3 linked regions of the Oryzias latipes genome follow. The protein of the gene in region 3 purifies or fractionates together with the protein of the main gene of each other region. This does not show direct contact. Links are inferred from orthologs where the notes say so. Each region holds a gene or a part of one and is shown on either strand. Other genes may lie near its edges.

The links. Proteins that work in one complex are often made in the same cells at the same time.
Region 1: the proteins of exocyst complex component 6B (region 3) and exoc8 purify together in Homo sapiens (affinity purification with mass spectrometry; 3 studies listed by BioGRID and IntAct, counting the BioPlex papers as one, with this or other methods). This does not show direct contact. The link is inferred for Oryzias latipes from reciprocal best matches to the Homo sapiens genes EXOC6B and EXOC8.
Region 2: the proteins of exocyst complex component 6B (region 3) and exoc1 purify together in Homo sapiens (affinity purification with mass spectrometry; 3 studies listed by BioGRID and IntAct, counting the BioPlex papers as one, with this or other methods). This does not show direct contact. The link is inferred for Oryzias latipes from reciprocal best matches to the Homo sapiens genes EXOC6B and EXOC1.

What each region holds. Positions count from the first base shown.
Region 1 is NC_019882.2:17,523,900-17,531,567, forward strand, and holds the start of exoc8 (exocyst complex component 8), read right to left. Parts: upstream 4,491-7,668; 5' UTR 4,364-4,490; coding exon 3,214-4,363; intron 1,191-3,213; coding exon 937-1,190; intron 546-936; coding exon 297-545; intron 1-296. Other genes in the region: sprtn (sprT-like domain-containing protein Spartan), read left to right, coding at 5,437-5,756, 6,198-6,297. UniProt on the Homo sapiens protein: Component of the exocyst complex involved in the docking of exocytic vesicles with fusion sites on the plasma membrane.
Region 2 is NC_019862.2:103,595-111,594, forward strand, and holds the start of exoc1 (exocyst complex component 1), read right to left. Parts: upstream 4,491-8,000; 5' UTR 4,257-4,490; intron 2,916-4,256; 5' UTR 2,904-2,915; coding exon 2,780-2,903; intron 2,705-2,779; coding exon 2,574-2,704; intron 2,489-2,573; coding exon 2,329-2,488; intron 1-2,328.
Region 3 is NC_019876.2:5,439,732-5,446,969, reverse strand, and holds part of exocyst complex component 6B, read left to right. Parts: intron 1-2,564; coding exon 2,565-2,685; intron 2,686-2,763; coding exon 2,764-2,835; intron 2,836-4,963; coding exon 4,964-5,061; intron 5,062-5,748; coding exon 5,749-5,854; intron 5,855-6,016; coding exon 6,017-6,126; intron 6,127-7,238. UniProt on the Homo sapiens protein: Component of the exocyst complex involved in the docking of exocytic vesicles with fusion sites on the plasma membrane.

The sequences.
Region 1 (7,668 bases), on a different chromosome or scaffold from region 3:
TAATCAAAAAACAGAATGAACATTAGAAAGATTTCAATGTGTATAAAATATTTATTTTCAAGGACAATTTATATATAAACTTTCTTTTGACTCTTCTATTCCTCCTGTCTCCATATTCTAACAACCTCATGTCCTCCTTTCACGACATTCATATAGTTCTGCCTCCTGACCATCAGCCCTGACTTTAAAATATTACCTATTGTACCTCTCCAGGTGTGCAAATCTCAATCTCAATATATTTTAACCTGTGTTATTATCAGCCTCGTTTACTGCATAGAAGAGCGACAGAAACATACCATGAGCTTGGCCAAAGCCTCGGGGGTCATCAGGTTCATTCTCCTCCACATCTCCTCGGAGTTGCGGTGCTTGGTGGCCTCGATGATAATGTCCTTTTGACTCTGCAGGGCAGCCCTGATATCTTTGACCAGCAGCGACTGCAGCATGAAGGTCAGGTCCAGGCCGATCTCCGTCAGCTGCTGGCAGTGCTCTTTGGCCACTTTGACACATTCTGCGGCCGTGGAGAGGCTCTCCTTACTGTCAAACACCTGGAAGAAAGGCGGCAACAGATGTGATTAACATGATTAACATTCTCGTTGAAATAAGTAAACACCCACTACAATGAAAATGATGTTTTTTGACATGTTCTTGTAGCATTTTTCTGATGTTGGATGGCATTTATAAAGAAAAAATTAAGAGTAATATATCAAAAGATGATCTAAGTGAAAATTTAAGCTTTGTTTGTGTGATAATTCTTATCAAAGTTAGGTTTGTTTTAAAAAAATCTGAAGTCGTGATGAGGCAGAAGGACAAAACAATAAACCACACTATCATCAGCCAAGAGTTGAACTTGTCTTTTGACATAAAGGCTGTTAAAATAGAAAACAAAAAAGGAGTAGATCAGAAAACGATCAACATTCTTGGTAACATGTTGTCTACCTGTTTGCTGAAAGCGTCAACAAACATCTTCATGGCAGATCTGGACCAGACGACAAAGGCAGAGTAGCAACCCGTGTTCCCAGCAAAGTCCATCTCAAACTCTTTGGCGGTTTCCAGCAAACTGGTGAAGAAGATGTTGCAGAGTTTGTGGATGTAGAGCAACGTTGCTCCCTCGATGCGAAGCTGCCGGATGGCCGTCTGGACTGCCGCGGCTCGGTTTTTCAGAAACAGTTCGCAGGCTTTGGTGGACTGGCCTGTAATAGGCATAAATCGATTCCTATTTTAGTGACTCAAAATCCACTTTTCTTTAGGTTACATCAATAGTTATGTAAAAAAAGTAATAACCATAAAAATCGGGTTTCAATAGACTTGAAAAATAGATATCTACTCAAAATGGAGTCCATGTTTTTGCAGTAATACACACAGGTGGTAAAGCCTTGGACACAACTGCCCTGTGGTAGAAAAATAGGCAAACCTGTGTGGGGCTGTACAGCCAAGTGCTCTTGCACATTTTGTCTTTGGGAATGCTGCAGGCAACAGGTGGTAATGAATACTTATACAACATAAGGGAAAGGAAGGGTGAAGTAGGTGAGACGCAGCCATGTTCTACGTATTTTATAGTTTTCTTTACCCCCCCAAATCCTGCGCACGGTGCTGTTCAAGTGATAAGTGCGCACTCCTTCTGTGTAGCCTGACTGTTATGCTAACTCCACACTGGGCATGCATGGCGCTGAACGCGGGTTCTTGAACGCACTTTCAGCATACGTGCTCATACTGGACTGTCGCTACCCGATAGTAGCGCACAGTTATAAGATGCTTCCTGCGAAATGTTGAAGCGGTGCCAATCTTGCTCCAGGCTTTTTCTTTCACAGCTCTATTTTGATAAAGGAAGGCCTTGGTGTCATAGAATTTTGGCCGGGCACAAACCGCAATTAGTATTTCACCTCCAAGATTCAGTGTTTTGAAAAGGATGCTACTCATACCTCACTACCAAATCAGAGTCCTTGATTGGTCAAAGTACAACTAGTTAAACTTTCAGCACACGTTCGATTGCGTGTTTTGTACGTAGAGCCTGAAAACTGACCTAAAAACCTGCGTAGAGACGCGTCAACGAGAGAGCTTTGAACGCGGAGGCCCAAAACGGGCTTTTACGTGAGCACTTACATAGAATTTTCATTGAAAGTGGTCACTCAAACACGCATTTCCAAGCCTGGTGTTAACGTAGCATTAGAAATTTGATGATAATGGTGTAGTTTGTGTGAGTGTCCTGTCCTACGGACACTTACATGTCAGCATTTGCTTGGAGTCAGTAAGGAACCAGTACTCACTCATTAACCCTTGTGCTGTCTTAGATGACCCCACCCTTACATTGACATGTTCTCCCTACCATGACAAAGGTGGATAAAGGTGGAAAGATTTCATGTAATCCATGGACACCAGTGAAGATCACAAATCATTGAAGAAAAAAGGTTCAGCGAACTGTCTAGTGGGTCTAGATGACCCAACTCCCAATGTTAAAGTGCCTTGGATAGCACAAGGGTTAATAACGACTACAGTGTGGCAGTTTGGGCGGTGTTCGGCAACATCACCCGTATGTTATCAGTGCGTGTAACTTATGTTAGCCTTACAAATACTTCACAATATGCTTACCATACACAATGGTAGGTTCCATTTTCAAGGGAACTGCAAGACACACCTGTGCTCCTGTTAAGATGCGCCTTAAACTGGCCGGTCTACTTTCTACTCCCCTCCACAGACCTGGACAACCCAAAAACCCAGGGCACCTGTACAGGTCAGCCCCCGTACAGGTCCATGTGGCTAAAGCTTTAGTGACTCTGAATTGACCTTTAGGTGTGAATGTGTGAACTTGTTTGTCTCTGTGTGGCCCTGTGATGGAAGGCGAACTGTCCAGGGCGAACCCCGCCTTCACTGAAGAGTTGTTGGTTTAGCTCCAGTGACCCCATTACCCCAAACAGGAGTAAAGCAGGATTACACTGGTTGGTCCCTTAAAATGTTGACCTTCAAAACCTAAAATTAAATTAAAAGAAACTTTTTTTCAACATCACTTCCCCGCCTGACAGATCCAGAAGAGTGGGCTTTGAACACTTTTTTTTTTTTTTGCAAAACAAACGACATTGATGCTCCTAAATAAAAGTTTGAATTAAAAATGTTGCCTTTTTTTTGGCTTTAACGGACTAAAGAAAATGTTTTGGAAGTTAGTCAAACATCATCTCTTCTCTGTTTCTCTGGAAATTAAGAAAAGAACCAAACCAGGACCTAGTCTGATGAGCTGGGACACGGCACGTCGGGTCGCTTTAGGTCCACCACGGAGTGACCGATCCGGAGACAGCTCGAACACCAGCACCTCAGTCAGCTGTCGCACCCGCTCGTCCACCTTGGACCTCAACTCCTTGACCTTCTGAGTGGAGGGCTGGTCCTTCAGGTACTCGTTCAGTTTGTCCAGCAGGTCCACGGCTCCCTCAAAGTCCCTCTGGGCAATGCACACGTCCAGGTCCTCGGGGAGCTCCTGAATCCACTCGATACCAAGTTCTGCGCTTTCCTCTGCATCTGCTGGGTCCTCGTCCTCCAGGTCGAAAGGGTTGGTGGACACCTCAGATCTGATGGGGGACGTGGGAGCCTCCTCTTCCTTCTTGTGTCTGTCCTTAGACACCTTGTTCTTTTTGGTTTCATCAAGGATCTCCAGCCACTCCTTCTTGACCTTGCTGTTCTCTGCCTGGAAGATGCGGCTGTCCGGGAACATGAGGATCTTGAACATGTCCTTCATGGGGGGATTGTCCTTGACGTTGACCACGGCGAAGCTCTCCAGGTCGTACAGGTCGCTGTATTTGTACTTCACGGTGCCTCTGCGGTTGGGCAGCCAGGTGGCGATCAGCAGACAGTCGTTCATGAGGAAAGCATGGACCTTCTGGATGGGGGACATGTTGTCCACGTCAAACTCAAAAAGGTCTCCGTTGTAGACTAGGTGCCTCCCCGGGATGTCCATGATGTTCTTGGCTCCTTCGACTTTCTCCAGCAGAGAGGTGAGCGCCCTCTGCTTCACCTCCTCCGTCTCTTTGGGGAAAGCAGCCTGCATCTCCTTGGAGGTCTCATCCTTGTCTGTGGACAGCAAGGCCTGGGTGATGCTCTCCATGATGCTCTTCTGCTCCGTCAGGATGTGGCTCAGCTGGTACATCTCGCTCTCCAGGTAGGAAATCTCTTTGGCGGTTTCAATGAACTGCCTGTAGTTCTTATAGACATTTTTCTTCAAATTCTGGGCCGTTTCGTCGGCCAGGTTTTGGATTTTTTGCCGATGCTCCTGCAGATCCCTGTCGCCGTCGGACTGCTGTGACAGCTGTTTGACGTACGTTTGCGGATCGAAATTGGGAGATTCGAGAAGTTTCCGCAGCCGGTTCCCTGTTTCCGACATCTTTAGCTGTGTTTGCAATTATTTACGAACGCGAAATATTAGTAAAATGGCTATGAAATGTACGAACAAGACGAGTGCATCGAAGCTCCTTTTACATCCGCTTTCACTCCAACAGGAAGCTGTAAGCAGCAACACCCGAACGTCACGTGATCAGAAAAAGTTTAAAAATAAAATCGTAAAAAAATTATTTGATTATCTTTAGGCATAAGATAATATAAATTTTTGATTATGATTCGTAAACTTTATTCAATTGTAACAATTGAATAATTTAATTTAAATATCAGATATATGTTTACTAAAGTTCCCAGAACCCATCGCTAATATTTGTGCTAGCGATGCTTGCAATCTTTACCGGAAGTGGTAACCAAAGCATACAAAATAATTACATTGAATTATAAAAAAAAGATCACCGTCAAAGCTACCCAAATTAAACTATTGAATTTTTCTTTTTACTATATATATTGATATACTGAGCATAAAAAAGTGCCCATGTTATATATATATCACAGTGTTTTAGTTTAGACAATTAATTTTAAAACATATCATTATAATAGACAAAAATGATTAAGTAACCATATTTGGGACCAAAACGCCTTTAATAACTCATTTTTTTAATTTGAAAAACAATCACGTACGGGACTTCGCGGAACTTGACAGCAGGTTAGACCAAAAGACAGAGTAAAATTGCATTGATGCAAAAACAATTTCCTTAAAAGCTACGCGGCTTTCAATTTCAATTAATAATATACTAAGAAAACACATACGTGCCTACGTTTAGATATTCAAAATACTTTGAACAAAAACTTTAATATGTTTTATTGTGAAAAAAATAAAATAAAACATTACCGGAAGGTTTGTGGAAGATGACAGGAAGTTGTTGGCTCCAGCTTCTTACTCTTTTTTATTAAATTGTTTCCGTTTTTATGTTTAAGCGTCCGTTTTGCGAAAAAATGATGACATAAATTCGTTTTTTTCTTTATGAGTTTACACTGCTAAATGTAGTACAACTGGCGCACTGATTGGTTTTTAGAAGTTCGGGTTAGCCAAAGCTAAATGGCAAAATAGCAGCAGTGATGGACGAGGACTTTCTGCTCGCCGTTCAGCTACAGGAGCAGTTTGACCATGAATATGAATCTTCACTGGTTTCATCTCTAAGTTTTAACGAAGGGGAGTTCGGAAACAACAGCAAAAAGCGGAAAGTGGAGCTTGCCGGTGGGGCCAGGGATAGAAAGCCAACTTCCGGCGTTGAGCGGCCGCTAAGCATCGTGGATGATTCCTGGGAGATGCTGGATCCCAGCCCTGATGTTAGAGCCATGTTTTTGGAGTTCAATGACATGTTCTTCTGGGGCAAACTCAGCGGAGTGGAGGTCAAGTGGAGTCCCAGGATGACCCTGTGAGTCTATTCTGACTTTGGACATTTGGTTTAAGCTGTTTCGGAGCCTAAACTGACCTCACCGATTTAGATCAAAACTAAAACACAATGGATTTTTAATGGAAACGTTGAAACAGGGAAATAAAAGCTTTAGAGAAAGCAAAAAATTTTTTTTTCTCAAATAAAGTGGACAGATTTTGAAGAAAAAGCTCAATAAGTCAAAGTCAGCTTTATTGTCAAGTATGCAGCATACATACAGATTAACAGCACAGATTAAATTACTTTCCTCTCGCCCCACAGTGCAAGCAGCTTATAAAATAATAAAATAAAATAGAATAAATGCAAATAGATACATAAATTTAAGGTTATATTGAAGATTTTGGGTGTAAGTAATGTCATTGGATCAGTGATGGCAATTATGTCTAAAAAAATGCTTCTACTCTCTTTGGTTTCCTCTTGCAGGTGTGCTGGCGTTTGCTCCTATGAAGGTCGAGGTGGACTGTGTTCCATCAGACTCAGTGAACCTCTGCTGAAGCTCAGACCCAGGAAAGACCTAGTGGAGGTGGATGGGATTTTACAATATGTTTTTACTAATAAATCAGTCATTTTTTAAAGATCCAAGTTAGAACAGTGCTTGTCGCAGAGAGCTGCTCCGAAGTTGCCTCTTTAGGGAGGCTTCCTGGCTGAACTGGCCTCTTTTGGTGTGGAGGACCAGCTCTTTTCCTCACTCCATCACCTCGTGGAGGAAACTCGCTGATGTTTTCCAGATCTTTTCCATCCGATCATGACTCATAGCTCATGATCTTTGGTGTAAAATTACCAGTAAACTGAGAGCTTTACCTTTTGGCACAGCTCAGCCAATCCCTGGCTAGAAATTCTGTTAATTAAAACCCTAATCAATGTCCCAGCATGCACTGGGAAGGACTTACTTTCATCAATGGGAACTAAATTCCTAGAAGAATCCTGCAATTGAGCTAAATTATTCAAAACTGTGATAATTCCATATTATTCAGATCCAGATTATTCCCATGAAGTCAACTGGATTGAACTGGAATATAAAAAACCATCAAATCTGTGGCGATGTCCAATTCCACCCGACAAAATGGCGTTCTATCTAGTGCACTAAATACGGAGAAAATTCAGTCACAACTTAAAAACTAGATAATAACTAGATCTGGTCTCCTCACTTCTGTTTAAATCACTGACATATTCACATTCTTTTCAAAACAAAAATCTTAATCTATTTTAGTTACAATGATTTATAAAGTACTGATGTTTATGTGTTACTTCCAACAAGAATAGACAGTATGGTTCTAATTTAGTGATCAAACATCTAAAACAGGTGTTTTTTAATGTAGTTTTGTATTTGAATTCATATTTAGTAAGTCAAGTGGGCAGCGCAATGTTTTTCTTGCTTTGTGTCCAAATGGTTTCTCAGTTCTTAAAGCTCACCTGAACCCAGATGTGAACTTGAAGACCCACTCTGATCATCTTTTGATCTATTCTAAAAATGTTCCCAGTGGTCTTTCAGTTATGATTATACAGTTTTCAAGCAAAATCTAACCTGTGTCATTTTCTAGGACACAGTTTCTGCAGAGCGGCGGGAGTTCATTAGAAATTCCCCTCAGAGTCGTGGGGCGGGTCTGTCGGTGCAGAGTTAGCCGGTCTCCCTTTTCCCGTCATAGATAACTGAGAGCTCTGCTGCTACTTTACATTCCCTCATAACCCCAACCTAACATTATGCAACCAAAATGGCGAGCAATATTGGAGCTGTACAGCTGTAAAGACGTGCATGGATCTATTTGCCTGACAGTGGATGAATCAGAATGGAACGGAGCAGGGAACTTGTGACCTGCCGGTTGTTGCTTCTACGTCAAGCTTTATCCCCACAGCGTTTTGTTCTTCTGCTCTTGATTGACAACAAATTGAATAA
Region 2 (8,000 bases), on a different chromosome or scaffold from region 3:
GGGAAAAGTGAGAGTAAAGAAGAATTTAAAACAGAAAAAAATACCACAAACCATGATACAAAAAAGAAAAATGTTCTTCAAACATCTTGAAAATAAACAAAGTAATACAATCATAAATAAAAGATCATCAAGATATGAAACAGAAACATTGATGTGAGCGTGAGATTTTGAAAACATTCCAATGAACCAAGACCCTGTGTTTTATACACCGACCAAAAATATAAACGCAACACTTTGTTATTGCTCCCATTTTTTATGGTATGAACTCAAAGATGTGAAACATTTTCCACATACACAAAATAACCAGTTCTCTGAAATATTGGTCACAAATCTGTCTAAATCTGTGATAGTGAGCACTTCTCCTTTGCCAAGACAATCCATCCCACCTCACAGGTGTGCCATATCAAGATGCTGATTAGACAGCATGATTATTGCACAGGTGTGCCTTAGACTGGCCACAAGAAAAGGCCACTCTGAAATCTTCAGTTTTGTTTTATTGAGGGGGTCAGGGGACTCAGACAACCAGTCAGTATCTGGTGTGACCACCATTTGCCTCATGAAGTGCGACACATCTCCTTCGTATAGAGTTGATCAGGTTGTCTATTGTGGCCTGTGGAATGTTGGTCCACTCTTCTTCAATGGCTGTGCGAAGTTGCTGGATATTGGCAGGAACTGGAACACGCTGTCGTATACGCCGATCCAGAGCACCCCAAACATGCTCAATGGGTGACATGTCCGGTGAGTATGCTGGCGATGCAAGAACTGGGATGTTTTCAGCTTCCAAGAATTGTGTACAGATCCTTGCAACATTATCATGATGCAACATGAGGTGATGTTGTTGGATGTACGGCACAACAATGGGCCCCAGGATCTCGTCACAGTTTCTCTGTGCACTCAAAATGCCATCAATGAAATGCACCTGTGTTCTTCGCCCATACCATAACCCCACCACCACCATGGGCTACTCGATCCACAACATTGACATCAGAAAACCGCTCACCCACACGACGCCACACACGCTGTCTGCCCTGAACAGTGTAAACCGGGATTCATCCGTGAAGAGAACACCTCTCCAACGTGCCAGACGCCATCGCATGTGAGCATTTGCCCACTCAAGTCGGTTACGACAACGAACTGGAGTGAGGTCGAGACCTCGATGAGGACGACGAGCATGCAGATGAGCTTCCCTGAGACGGTTTCTGACAGTTTGTGCAGAAATTCTGTGGTTACGCAAAGCGATTGTTTCAGCAGCTGTCCGAGTGGCTGGTCTCAGACGATCTTGGAGGTGGACATGCTGGATGTGGAGGTCTTGGGCTGGTGTGGTTACACGTGGTCTGCGGTTGTGAGGTCGGTTGGATGTGCTGCCAAATTCTCGGAAACGCCTTTGGAGACGGCTTATGGTGGAGAAATGGACATTCAATTCCCTAGCAACAGCTCTGGTGGACATTCCTGCTATCAGCATGCCAATTGCACGCTCCCTCAAAACTTGGACATCTGTGGCATTGTGCTGTGTGTACAACTGAAGATTTCAGAGTGGCCTTTTCTTGTGGCCAGTCTAAGGCACACCTGTGCAATAATTATACTGTCTAATCAGCATCTTGATATGGCACACCTGTGAGGTGGGATGGATTGTCTTGGCAAAGGAGAAGTGCTCACTATCACAGATTTCGACAGATTTGAGACCAATATTTCAGAGAACTGGTTATTTTGTGTGTGTGGAAAATGTTTCACATCTTTGAGTTGATACCATAAAAAACGGGAGCAATAACAAAAGTGTTGCGTTTATATTTTTGGTCAGTGTAATTTACCAATATCAATTGTATTGGGGAAAGAAGAGGAGCAATGACATCAAACATTGTTCCAACTTATAGTCTACCTTCATCAAAAAGCAGTAAACAAGATTAAGCTTAATAAGAGTAAAGATGAACTGTCAACATGAAGCAACCATCTTAAATAATCTTAATGACTAAAACTGTGTCAGAGGTGATCATAGCTGTAGTTACACGCTCCTCCTCACTATGCAAATAGTTTAGCTGCTGGAATATTTCACTTATGAGTTTGGTCTTGGTAAAATCAAACTGGGCTGGATTTGCTCTAGTAGTTTGAAGCATTAACTGCTCTAAAGTCTGGTGTTCTGGATGCTAATCTCAAGAAAGAGAAACTGGTCTTTTTTTTACCTAACTTTATAAAATCTACTCATTGTTTGAGTATTTATGTTTACTTCTAAGACCAAAAAACATTTTCATATGAAAAAAGCTACATATAACTTAAAGGTCACAAAATATGAAGAAGACATATGGGAGGATCGAGGACAGAGGATTCACGCACCTTCCAGCAGCTGAGAACTGACATTCACAAACTCCACCTTCTTCCTTAGATAACGCTGATTCAGTTTCCAAATGCAGGATATAAAGCAGTTTTTCTCAGCTGTACTACTAGCCAACCACCGATAGATCTTCTCAAAATGCAGGTCAAATTCAGGGTTTTCCTAAAGCAGAGGAGCAAGACAGTCAGCACTGCTACAGATTATAGAAACACAGAGCATTAATGGAATTTAAATGTTAGACTCTCACCTTGCTTGCATCTTTGGCATCTACTACTGTCAGATCTCTAAGCTCCCAAGTTTGCTGTCTCTTGTAAAAGTCACCTTTGTCAGATTTTTTTACCTTTACTACTTTGACCTGAACAGGTCTCTCTATGGTAACTAGAAAAAAAATATGAAGCATTAGACTCCATAAAGAAATTCTGCCAATCCTATTTGTGGTGGTCATACACTCACCTGTGGCACACAAGAAACAGTTCTTCTTTTTCTTTCCAGCCTTGCAGACATTAACAATACCAAGGAGGCGCTCATCATTTGGAGTGAAGATGTCCCTCTGGAGAGCGTGTTTGATGGCTGTCATGGTGGGTGGACACTGTTGTACAAAACAGATGCAGATTCATGTCAGCATCAGGGATTCATATCAATAATATAGTCTCATCGGCTTTTCTTTTTACTTCAGTTAGCATCCACAACAGATGTATAACAATAAAAAAATCACTTATTACCACAGACTGAAACATTTCTTATCACATTATTTTAACAAATCAAACTGGGATAAGGCCATTTGCAGATGCACCATAATGTACATGTTTATTTGTTCAGAAACCCAACTGGTTTAGAAAGAACATTGATCAAGTTTGAATTTTGAAATAGCATGTTTGTGACAGGAGTGGAGCTCTAAAACTATTGATGGCATATTGAAAGGTGTTTTTTGCAGAGATTTTACACCTGATGACCTTCCTGAACATCTTTGTATTTTATCTGGTCTAGGGACCAGCACAGGAGGACACAGAAGTGGCCCCCCCAACTCCATTTGTTTATAATAAATGTAGATTTATTTTCCTCTTAAAAATAACAACACGAAAATAATCCAGGAAATTATAAACTTGTGAATCTACTAATTAAATGTCTAGGCAGCAATGCCCATTATGACTATTAATGTACACCAAATAATTGTCTGCATTATGAGACAAAAGTTCATTAAGCATTCACTTCTAATCTACAATACGTACCCAAACATCAGAATCTGAGGCATTTATTGTCATTATAACAGCAAAAGTACAGTACAACTAAATTACTGTTTTTGTAATCGGGAGATAGGGGGAAGACAAATTACATAAGATAAGGGGATCACCAATAGCAATGATAATAATAATAATAATAATAATAATAATAATAATAATAATACTTCTAATACTCTTGAGGGGGCAGAATAGGGGTGTAGAAAAAGGACATGATCATGTTAAAAAAAAAGTATGAAAACCCACCAGCAAAACAATGAATGTCAAAATGTTAATGCTTATGCTGCATTTATAAAAAATGCTCAAGTTCATCAATCGAAACGTAATTAAATTAAACATGTCAAAACGTACATCACTGTGTAAATAGGATTTATTTGTTTTTAACTAACCAATAAATAACATATTTCTTTCCGTTCAAAGAAGAGTTGACGTGTGGAAGGAAGGAAGGATATTTAGGGCCACAAAAAAAACGGAACAGTTCCTGATTTATTGTTACTGTACATCAGGGTTAGCTTAGCGACTGCTAACGAGCTTGCTAACAGAACATGCTAACGGTTGTAGCCTCTTTTTTTGCTAGTTATTAAACGAGATTAAAATTTTGCAACGACAGTGTAATTTGCACAAATGATTTGTTCCGTCGATTAAGTTAACATGTGAAAAAAAAATTTAAGTTAAAGAATTTCACCCAATACCTTATTTTCATCAGCCCTTCAAAACTCTGCACAAACACAAACACTTCCTGGCTTTAAGGAGGAAGTGTCATGTGACACCGCCTATGACTAATTAAAGCGACAGGAAACTCCACCTGGCAAACCGAATCTGTTTACCATAAAATATCGCAATAGCTTTGTTAGAATTCCCACCCTAACCCTTTACTACTAAAAAAACGATATATAGTGCGGGACAATGTAGTGTTCTGGATTTTAAAAGCAATTCGGAAAACGTGCACGCTACTTTTTACGGCGATTATGACGTCATCGATTTCACGAAGTGGAAAATCTTAATTGAAATGGACGAGTATCTTTTTTTCCCCAACTGTCATTTATGATTTCATGTGTTCAGGATTGTAAGTATCCAGCGTCAGGACAGGGGGTTGGTGGGAAGCCCACTTGTGCTACTAGGCCCTGGTTTGATCTCAGGGATTAGGTTAGGACAGAGACCTTCCCCTAGTCCTTTTTCTCCTAATTTCTTCTATCCGTGAGGAAGGTCCAGGGACAAGTACAGCAATGGGTACAAGAGAGGAGCTTGAAGAAACTAAGGAAAGAAAGAGTTAGCCACCTGCTGGAAGAAAAGAAGAAAGAATAGTGATGAACTTCTAGCTCTAGGAGGACATGAGGCTGCAGAAGAGCTGAGAGCACAAGAGAGGAGGGAGACTTTTGACAGACTTTTCAATCTCTTGGGAAAAAATGGTCAACAAAGAAATAACCTATCAATGCTTTCTGAGAAAAAGTAAATTAATCAATTATGTTCATATTTGATATTTTAAAATCATGTGAGTTTTTTTCATGCAAATAAAGAAATAAATCCAAAACGGCAGTTCTCATGAATTCATTGTAACACTTTTATTTACAACTATTTACAAAGTTGATCGACATAGATGGGGGGCTGCAACTGAGACCCAGGGCTGGAACTTTGTGGTTGGTGATTGGAACTTCTTGCAGGGTGGTCTGCTGAGAGAGTTTCAGGATGCAGCTTCACTGTACATCAACAGAGTTTGCAGAGCTTGCTGCCGATTCTGAATTATGAGACTGTTCTGACCTCATAGCCGATGGATGCTGCATGACCAAAGATTATCCATAGGTTGATTCTGCAGTACAGAGGTCTGGTCTGGTTAAAGAGAAATACACAAGAAATCCTTTTTTAGTTTAACCCTTGTGCTATCCTAGGCGCTTTAACATTGGGAGTTGGGTCATCTAGACCAGTGTTTTTCAACCAGTGTGCCGCGGCACACTAGTGTGCCGTGGGAAATTGCCCTTATTAACTGATCTAAAAACATTTTCCATCTCCAGGATATCAGCTCTGTGTTCATCCAAACAGGCCCTGATAAAACACTGAGTAGTTAGGAATATGAAAGATCATAAAATACTTTTTTCTTTGTGTTTATTTGATTCTATTAAAGACACTTTGATCAGAATGACGGTACCGCGATTTAGCCACAGCTTCAGCTCTATTTTTGGAAAAGTCCCGCCCCTTTAACTGTCTCCACCAATCATTCTTGGATTCTTAATCACATGTCATCAGTCTGACCAATCAGAAGTGGTTAAAGTCTTCACTTCCTTGTTTCAATTCTGTTCATTAAGTCTCTCAGTTCTAACAAAAATACCAGCTAAAGCTCGTCTTTACTGGTGTAGCTTTCCACAGAATCCGGTTTCAGAATGTGGAAAAAGTAAACAAAATAATGAAGCTCAGAGACGCTGGTCTTTCAGCATTCGGTGGAATTTTGCACTACATCTCCCATGATGCATCAGGTTAAAGGGACAGCGTCTCGGCGCACAATGAGTCTCTCCTCTTAACGTCTTGAAACCACAACGAACACAAATAAACAGTTTTTAAATCTTCTAACTTAACTTTTATTACATCTATTAGGAAAAACAGCTGCAGCTTCCAACTTTTTCTGCCACAATTATCACGAAAATGCTCGTGAGATCATGGAGGGACTGTAGATCAATACAGACTATGAGTTTCTCTTTTTTGTTTGTTTTTTTGATGCTGATGTGCCGCAGGATTTTTGTCAAGGTTAAAGTGTGCCTTGGCTCAAAAAAGGTTGAAACACACTGATCTAGACCCACTACACAGTGCTTGGAACCTTTTTTCTTCAATGATTTGTGATCTTCACTGGTGTCCATGGATTACATGAAATCTTTCCACCTTTATCCACCTTTGTCATGGTAGGGAGAACACGTCAATGGAAGGGTGGGGTCATAGGATAGCACAAGGGTTAAAGATGTTGTTTTCAGTTTTTATGAGGCTTAAAAACACGATTATACTCCGGGGGATATGATAGTAACAAAATACTTAAATACAAATATTACTGAATTCAAATAAGAGTAGGGTAAAAAAAATATTTCTGCAATTAAAGAAGTCACATGAAAAAATTAACATTTAACTCTATTGTAGTCTAAGTAATAAAATAATTTAAAAATAGTTTATAGTTATTACTTAATAATTTTTTACATTCTCAAAAGAGGATAGTTAAATTCTTATAACTTGTGAGAAGTAAACAAACTCTGGGTACTCTACAAACTCACAAATTTACTGCAGTAATTGTAAATTTTACAACCTGAAATGAAGTGATACAATATATCCATAAAACTAGCTAACGCTAAAATGTAATTCCTAAAAGCTTCAGCTTATGGAGTTCCTCTTTTCCTTTTTGAGAGATTGTATACAGTACCTGTTATCTCTCAGCCAGAAATACATGTGCTTTCAACCAGGATACAAATGATTCAACTCCTCCAAGATTAAAAGTTGGATCAAATAATCCAGGAAAATTTCTAGCTCCATGCATGGTTCACCACTTTTCTCTGACTCATGCGACACGTTACTAGAGGACAGTTTTGTGTTGGAGTTTGCAAACTCATTTATCTAAGTTCTTCTAACTCAGTTGGAAGTTGTATTAACTTAAAAGTTCAAGTTGGATCAACTTTGAATCGTAATTTTGACCAACTCAGATGTAAGTAACAGTGACCTAAAATGTCACGTAATCCTAACTGTGAATCTTAACCATTCCCAACTCAGGCATAAGATGTAAAGACTTAATTTTTTAAGTTGAAATAATCATAAATTCCAATTATTAGTAACTTAACAAAAGGTTGAAGTAACAAAAAATTTGTAATAATGTGAACTTCTAACTTTAATTTTAAATTCAATTGAAAATTACACATATGTTACTATATGTCCATTATAATTATAATTTCATGTCTCCACATGTGGAGCCAAATATTAACAAGATCATTAAGACACGAGTAAACAGTCACAGTTTACCCACACATGTGTTCGGAATGGCAAATCATTTGCTTTGACCTTATTCTGTAACTGCAACAACATGACCTCCACCTCTGTTCACATCTCCCTAACTCATGGTGTGGGAATCAACACTTCCCATGAGTCTTAGTTGCCTGGGTCCCCGAAACATTGTTTACAAAATGGCTGAAACCCTGGGGGATTTTCCAGGGGGGTATTCCAGAAAGCAGGTTATGCTAGCTCCCACAGTAAGTTTAAGCCTAAAGAAGTGTACAATCACAGCTTTCGGTTCCAAAAACAGAGGTATGCTAAGTTCCCCTGGCAACTCTGAACATTGCCTGGTCTGGAGCAGGTTTAGTTGAAGGTTAGTTTGTTTCCAGAGAGGTGAAGGAGCATGGCGTGTCCATTTTAGATTATTTAGTGGATGAAGAGGCTCAGATAATACTTTTTCTACCATGAGAGGGTGATAAGTA
Region 3 (7,238 bases):
GACATTTGTTGAGGAGACGTGTCAAATGATGTGGGAAGATGAAGGAAATCCCCCACTGTGTGTTTGGATGGCAAAAGGAAAGGAAATTACAAAAACTCCTTCATTTCGGCACCTGTTTCTAAACAAATAAATAAACGTCAATGTGCTACGGTAGTGAAGCCTGAATACATTCAATTCCAGTCAGATTCCGGTTTGCTTCCTTACACCTACATTTATCCCTCCAAGCAGAGAGAGATATGAGGAAAAAAAATAGTGTCTTTAAATCTGGACGTTACTACTGCTCGATGATGTCATCAATCGTCACCAGTTACCTACGTTATTGGGTAGCTGCCAGCGCCCAGAAAATACACATCGGCTTTATAACTTTAAAAAGTAAAAAAAAAAAAGTTAATACTCAATACTAGCATGTATCCCTTGTGCTATCCTAGGCACGTTAATGTTAGGAGTTGGGTCATCTAGACCCACTAGACAGTGCTCTGAACCTTTTTTCTTCAATGATTTGTGATCTTCACTGGTGTCCACGGATTACATGAAATCTTTCCACCTTTATCCACCTTTGTCATGGTAGGAAGAACACGTCAATGGAAGGGTGGGGTCATCTTGACCCAACAAGACAGCACAAGGGTTAGATATAAACTTGTACAATTGGAACAGTAGGGAGGAGCCAAAGGGGAAGGGAAGGGACGCCAATTGGATTTGGCCAAATATTATCTGTTCCTTTGTTATGATTTTCCAATTTACACATTTCCATATAGTTAAGTAAATCTACCCAAAATGCAACTTGTATGTGATTCTTTTTTCTTTATTATGCGTTTTTTGGCTGCAGTGACTTATTCTCCTGAGTGACTTATAGTCTGAAAAATATGCTAGTTTTCTGCAGATCAGCCGTGGTTTATCAGAAATTGGCCCCCCTTTGCTGCTATCAGGGAACTTGTGGCCTTTCCTGTGCATTTTCTGCATAGCAAATATATTTTTCAAGCAACTTTTTTTTTAGCTCAACTTTTGATATATGTCCTCTGAAAAGTGTCACAAGAACATGATAAAACACCACTTTTACCATGGTGGGTCTTTAATGAAAGACTTGTGAAAACAGATTAAGGTTTTCTGTGTGAACTACTCTAGGGATCAGTTAAAGCACAAATTTGAATTTAAGCAACCAAAAAACAGTGGAAGGCCTTAATAGAGTATGCACACTTGGCTTGTAAAAGTCTGCACAACAATTTCACAATAGCAGTTAGTGGTGAAAACATTTATTGTAGCCACACAAAATGATCTAAGCAATGAAATTTAGAACATCTTTAATTTGCCTGATTTTTTTTTTTTTGTGTTAACCAAGGAGTTGCTTTTTGATCATCAAAGGAACTACAAGTTTTTACATGGTCAGGAATTGCCATTTATTGAATTTTACAAAGGATGCCACTAAATATTTTTCTTACTATTGTTGCACAATTAGCTAATATCCGCTTTTATTTTTGAGTATTTCAGCCGTTATCCTTCTCTTAGGCCCTGCTAGTCACCAGGATGTTTTCAGCAGTATAGTTTCTTACCTTTCGCTGACTCGCTGTTTCGCAGATTTCTTTTGTACTGTTTTGCATGCCTTTTTTTTTTCTTTTGGTTCAAAGCACATTGCGTTCTGCGTCCTTTTTAGCCATAGATTTGGCAATCAATCTCCGCCCTGTTGTGTCTCCTTTACCGAATGCGTTCAGTTTGCCAGATCTTCATACATCTTTGATCGCGGTCATACTGGAATTATTTTTTCAACTTTGATTTAAATGAGAGAAAAAAAACTATAAAAATGTTCATGTATGTCTGAAAAAAGTGTATAAAGTTTGTAGTGAGAGGTTTTAAAGCCTTAGAACATCTACAATTATTAGCTGCAAGACATCAAAAGTAGTGACTACGTCGCAGATTTTTTTCTGTCACGGGTTATTTTTAAAGCTCCTTCAATAACCGGGACAGCTTTTGAATACTTCTAAAACACAGTTGCTGAATAATCCAGTTTGTATCACGTTTTTTTAATATTTATTCATTTATTTTTACGGCTTTTCAGCTAACAGATTGCAGCCTGTGACTCGGCCCCTCCCACGTCCAGCTAAAGTAGCAGCCATTAAACCTTTTCTCCATTTTCTCTATTAAATTCTTTGTAAAATGATTTAACTTATCAAACAAGACATATTTACCATCTTGGGTTAGGTTTCATGGTACTAATGTATGGAACTTATTTTTCTTTATGTATGATAATACATATAACTCATATATCCATATAAGTCATGGATATATTTAAATAATAAGACTGTCAGGTGACGATTGAATCTTCAGCTCTAGATTACCCTTACTGGATGTTTACCAGGAAGTAAAAGACTCATTCTTCCCACCAATTTGCCAGTTTTTGGTGGTGGCATGACCATAAAATAATCTATTTCACCAGTTGCTCATCTCTTAGCGTCAATGGGCCCGTCCCTCAGAAAACAAGTTCATTTTAGGTCAACAAAACTGCATTTGCAGATCTAAACATAGTTTCTTTTACTGTTCTTAACCTCCTAGTGTTCCTCTTCCTCCTTCAGCTTCTTCGTTGTGGAGGATCACGTCCTTCACACCACCCGGGGTTTGGTCAACAGAGCCTATGTGGAGGAGCTTTGGGAGCTGGCACTCTCCAAGATTGTTGCTGCCCTGAGGACGCACTCTGTATGATGAATGACACATTTAGGAAAGACGAACAGCCACGTTCCCATAACATCCTGACTCTCTGCTCTGCTTGTTTAGTCGTACTGTGATGACCCTAACCTGGTGCTGGATCTGAAGAACCTCATGGTGCTGTTTGCCGATACGCTGCAGGTACGTGTGTGATTTACGACCGAGAGCCTCTCCGTCCCCCAATATCTCGCTAATCTCCCAAAGCTGTGGTGTTTTTAAGTTCAGCTGTCCTTTGTGACCCCCAGGTGGCCATGAATCTTCTTAAAAGGAAGTTTAGTTGGTTTTTTTTAAGTGGATGGCTGCAAGTCTCCAAAGAAAGGGCTTCTTTCTGAACCGTTTTAAAGATGGGAGTTCCTCAACTGATCTGACTGTGTTTATCCCGTGCTGCACAAATGAACAAACCTGAATGGATGGAGTGTGATGGATGAGGAAGGAATGGAGGAGAGATGGAGGGGATGTGCTGACCGGATGGGGGGGGACACGAATAAGACTTATGGAAGACATGGAGGTTGTGCTTGGGAGGTCCGACGCCGCAAGTCTTCCACGTGGAGTGATGAGCTGCTATTGAATGGCGTTTTTCCGTTCTTTCGACAGACTTTTTCCTTTTTGAACCAAACTTTCAAATCGGGTTTCAGACACGGGATGCCCAACATTTATTGCTTCATAAATCAGATGAAGGTTTTGAATTTCGGAACTGGTTACTGTTGCTGAGAAACAAAGACATGAAGCCAAGTCAAATGAATAGATAATTAATAGGGTTTGTTTGTTAATTTTACATACTGTTAGAATTAGTTGATTGGATACCCTTCTATTGTTCCTTTACTGCTGGTTTTCCAGCTTTTCTTTTAATTAGGTTTTGAATAACTGAGCCCTTTTAATCCAGCTAATTAACAGGGGTAGAGGTTGCTGGAAAACGTACAGGATGGTAGATCTGTGTCTCATTTCCACTGAGCGGTACGGTCAGGTCCGATACGGTCCGGTTTAGAATGGTCCAGGCAACTCAAGTAAGCGTTTCCACTTAAGGTTGGATCGCCGCGGTGCCTGTGGGGTGACGCTGACAAAAACAACAACAATGGAGGTCGTCCAGTAGCTCATTTTTTTTCCATTTGACTTTTGGTACTTCATATAAACAAAGCGTTTAATGTTGTCTGAGAGAAGATTCCGGTCAGCGAAGAGGAATACAGCTGCTTTGTTGGAGCTTTCGCTTGTCGATATGACTATCAGCCAATCAATGGGTTTCAAGAGTAGCTCTGCTCTAACTATTCCGTTCAATTTTTCTATGGACCTACAACCAAGAGGGGCCCAAAGATGGGATTGTTCGGTCCGGCTTAATGTCAGTTTTATAAAAGAAACGCTCAACGTACCAGACTGGACTGTACTGCTCAGTCCATTTAATTGTTTTCATTGTTTTTTCATAACCAGATGGTTGTTCTCCATCTGAGAAAATAAATACAATTCATGTACATCTGTAATTATTAACTACAAATCATCAGAAGTAGGGGAATTACTTTGCAGAATTTGTTGTCGCTGATTATTTATTGATAAACGTGGGCTAAATGGTAAATGGCGTATACTTATATAGCGCTTTCTACCTTCTTTCGAAGACCCAAAGCGCTTTACAGTCACAGTCCCATTCACCCAGTCACACACACATTCACACACTGGTGGCGGCTCCGCTGCAGAACACTGGCGCCAACCTTCCACCAGAGGCAAGGTGGGGTTCAATGTCTTGCCCAAGGACACTTCCACTCATGGGCGTGCAAGGCGGGAATCGAACCTGCAATCTTACGATCATGGGTCTACCGCCCTACCGCTGCTCCACAGGCGCCAAAACTATCGAACACTTCTAAAACACAGTTGTTGAATGATCCAGTGGGAATCATGTCTTTTAATTTTTTTATTTTTTCTTATGGATGTTTATTTTAAATCTGCTTTCTTGTTCAATGCCTAAAATAAAATGTCCCTCTTGTTGGTGTTTTATAAAAACTGATCTAAAACTCAACCGTTTACGCAACCAACGTAATTTTGATGGATTCAGGAGCTGAGAAAAGTAGATTTGCGCCGATACAAAACACTTTCCGTCCGATGCATTGGAGTTGTGTAAACGGTTGAAAAGTAAAAAAAGCGTGCATTATTTAGGCGCCACCGGCGAAATCTCCAGTGTTTAAGGGTCAACTTTGAAAAGTTTGGTATTTCCCTCCTGACTGGGACTGGACGGGCGTCTTCTGGGAAGTGAACTTCAGCCCGTGTGTTTGATCTGCATTTGCAGGGTTACGGATTCCCGGTGTCCCAGCTGTTTGACATGCTGCTGGAGATGAGGGAGCAGTATGGAGAGATCCTGCTCAAGAGGTGGAACATCACCTTCAGGTACCGACCGATCCGGGCCGCCGTCCGTTTTAGCGGCTCGGGTTGTCATGCGGGAAACCTGCCTTTGGTCAGGAGGTCACGCAGTGTTTGCACGACCACAGCACACTCTCGTCACACCAGAATGTGAGAAATGTGGTTTTGAAGTTTTATGAGCATCAAGAGAGGAAACGTTTTCAAACGACGTCCGGAACATTCTTTACCCTTCGGAATGGGCAGCACCCTCAGACGCTTTGTGTGTGCGTTTGGGCTCAACAGGCCATTGTTCGCCTCTGTTCAATGATACCAGAGGGACGCGGGGCAGTGAGAACGGACAAACAAACACACACTCCCTCTTTCCTCCTCTTTTTCTTATTGGAGTTAACACACACACACACACACACTCGGGAAGCCACAGGAATGTTGTGATGTATTGTTGGGGAGCGATCCCTCTCCGGTTCACCTCCTCTCCATGGAACGCTGGAACGTCCGATCTGCGGAGCGCCAAACAGACGTGGGGGTTGTTGAAAGGAGGCAGGGTGGTAAGAAAACCCGAAGCGTTGGAACGACCCCCAATGGGACGGTTGGAGGTTAATGTTTGTGTTTCAGAAAGAGAGAGGTGGAGCTGAGGAAACGTTTGTTTTTAGCTTTCTCCCGTTGACGTCTTCCACGAACGGAGGAAGTGATTCACCTGTGATCTGCCGTCTTCAGGCAGGTGTTGGATCAGGACAACTACAGTCCAATTCCAGTCTCTACAGAGGAGGAGTACCGCCACTACACTTCCCTGTTTCCCATGCAAGATCCTGAACTGGAAAAGGTGAAAACGAAACATCAGAGTTATAAAAATACAACTTTTTGCTATTTTTAAACATTTCACATCCTTTCATTTTAGTGAATGATAAAGGTTAGAGATGCTGATAAAGTGAAATATTTGGCAAAACCTTATGGAACTCTGTGTTTTATCTTCTGTGTTCGCCAGCTTCCCTTCCCTAAAAAGCTTCCCTTCTCCGAGTTTGTGCCAAAAGTCTACTCTCAGCTGAAGGAGTTCATCTATGCCTGCCTGAAGTACTCTGAGGATCTGCATCTCAGGTACTCGTCAAAGCCGTAGGTGGTTTGTTTTTACCCATGATGCCGCTGACAGGTTTAAACAAACCTCAACACACGGTGGAGTTTAAACCTAGCCCGATCAGCTGGCTTCTTCATTAAAACCGAAAGCTTCTCTTATTCTCATCACACGGTCGGATCGTGACCCGACTATGATAGCCCCACCACAAGAGATGGGTTAGATCCAACACCATTTTTGAATTTGGATTAATGGTTTTGGTTAGTTTCCCCTAAATATTAAAGTGTCTAGACTAAATTGTTCAAAAATCAAAAATATTTGGGCCTTTTCACATCAATTCAGTTCAACTAATAATTTACATAAATATTGACAACTTGAAAAGGTTTTCTCACCAAAATGGACACTAACAGAAGTATTTTGTTTAAAACGCTCCTTTTCTTTTGGTTCTTGACTCTTATTGGTTTATGACAAATGTGCATTCGTCGTCACATCAGCTTTCACTAATTTGCACAGGTGGATTGGCAAAGATTTTTGGACTGGATGCCCTTCCTGACCCAACACTATTATATCCAGGCTGGGGACAGCCACAGGGAAGCCCAGACTTTGGCCCCCTTGTGGCTGCATAGCGTAAAGCAGTCCTACACACAACCAACTAAGCCGTCCAGCTGCTGAATGTGCATCATTCTGTATAAACCCCCTAATGGGTGTTCGCATCAAACCCTTTTCTTTTGTCTCCAAAGACATTTTTTTTATACCTACATGTGTTTTGTGTGAATTTTTATGTTTTTCTTTTCAAATTAAGGTTTTTCTTTAATTACTTAGACCCATTTTTAATAAATAAAAGAATTATTTTTTTTTTAGTTGACTTAATAAAAAGATATGCAGGATAAAAGAAAACGAAGGGCTTCACCAGAAATATGATTGCTTTGATGATGTCATCTCAAGTCAAAATCACCACTGAGGACATACATATTTTTTTAAATCTTCAAGAGTTCTCAAACCTCTTCTTGTAAATAAATTCTGCTGACATCAGTCAGCTTCATCTTTAGTTGCGGCCCTCTACCTTTTTAAAGCTGGCTTCACCGAATTGCCACCGTCATGAGTTGGTGGTTATTGGGTTGGACATGAAACCCTCATT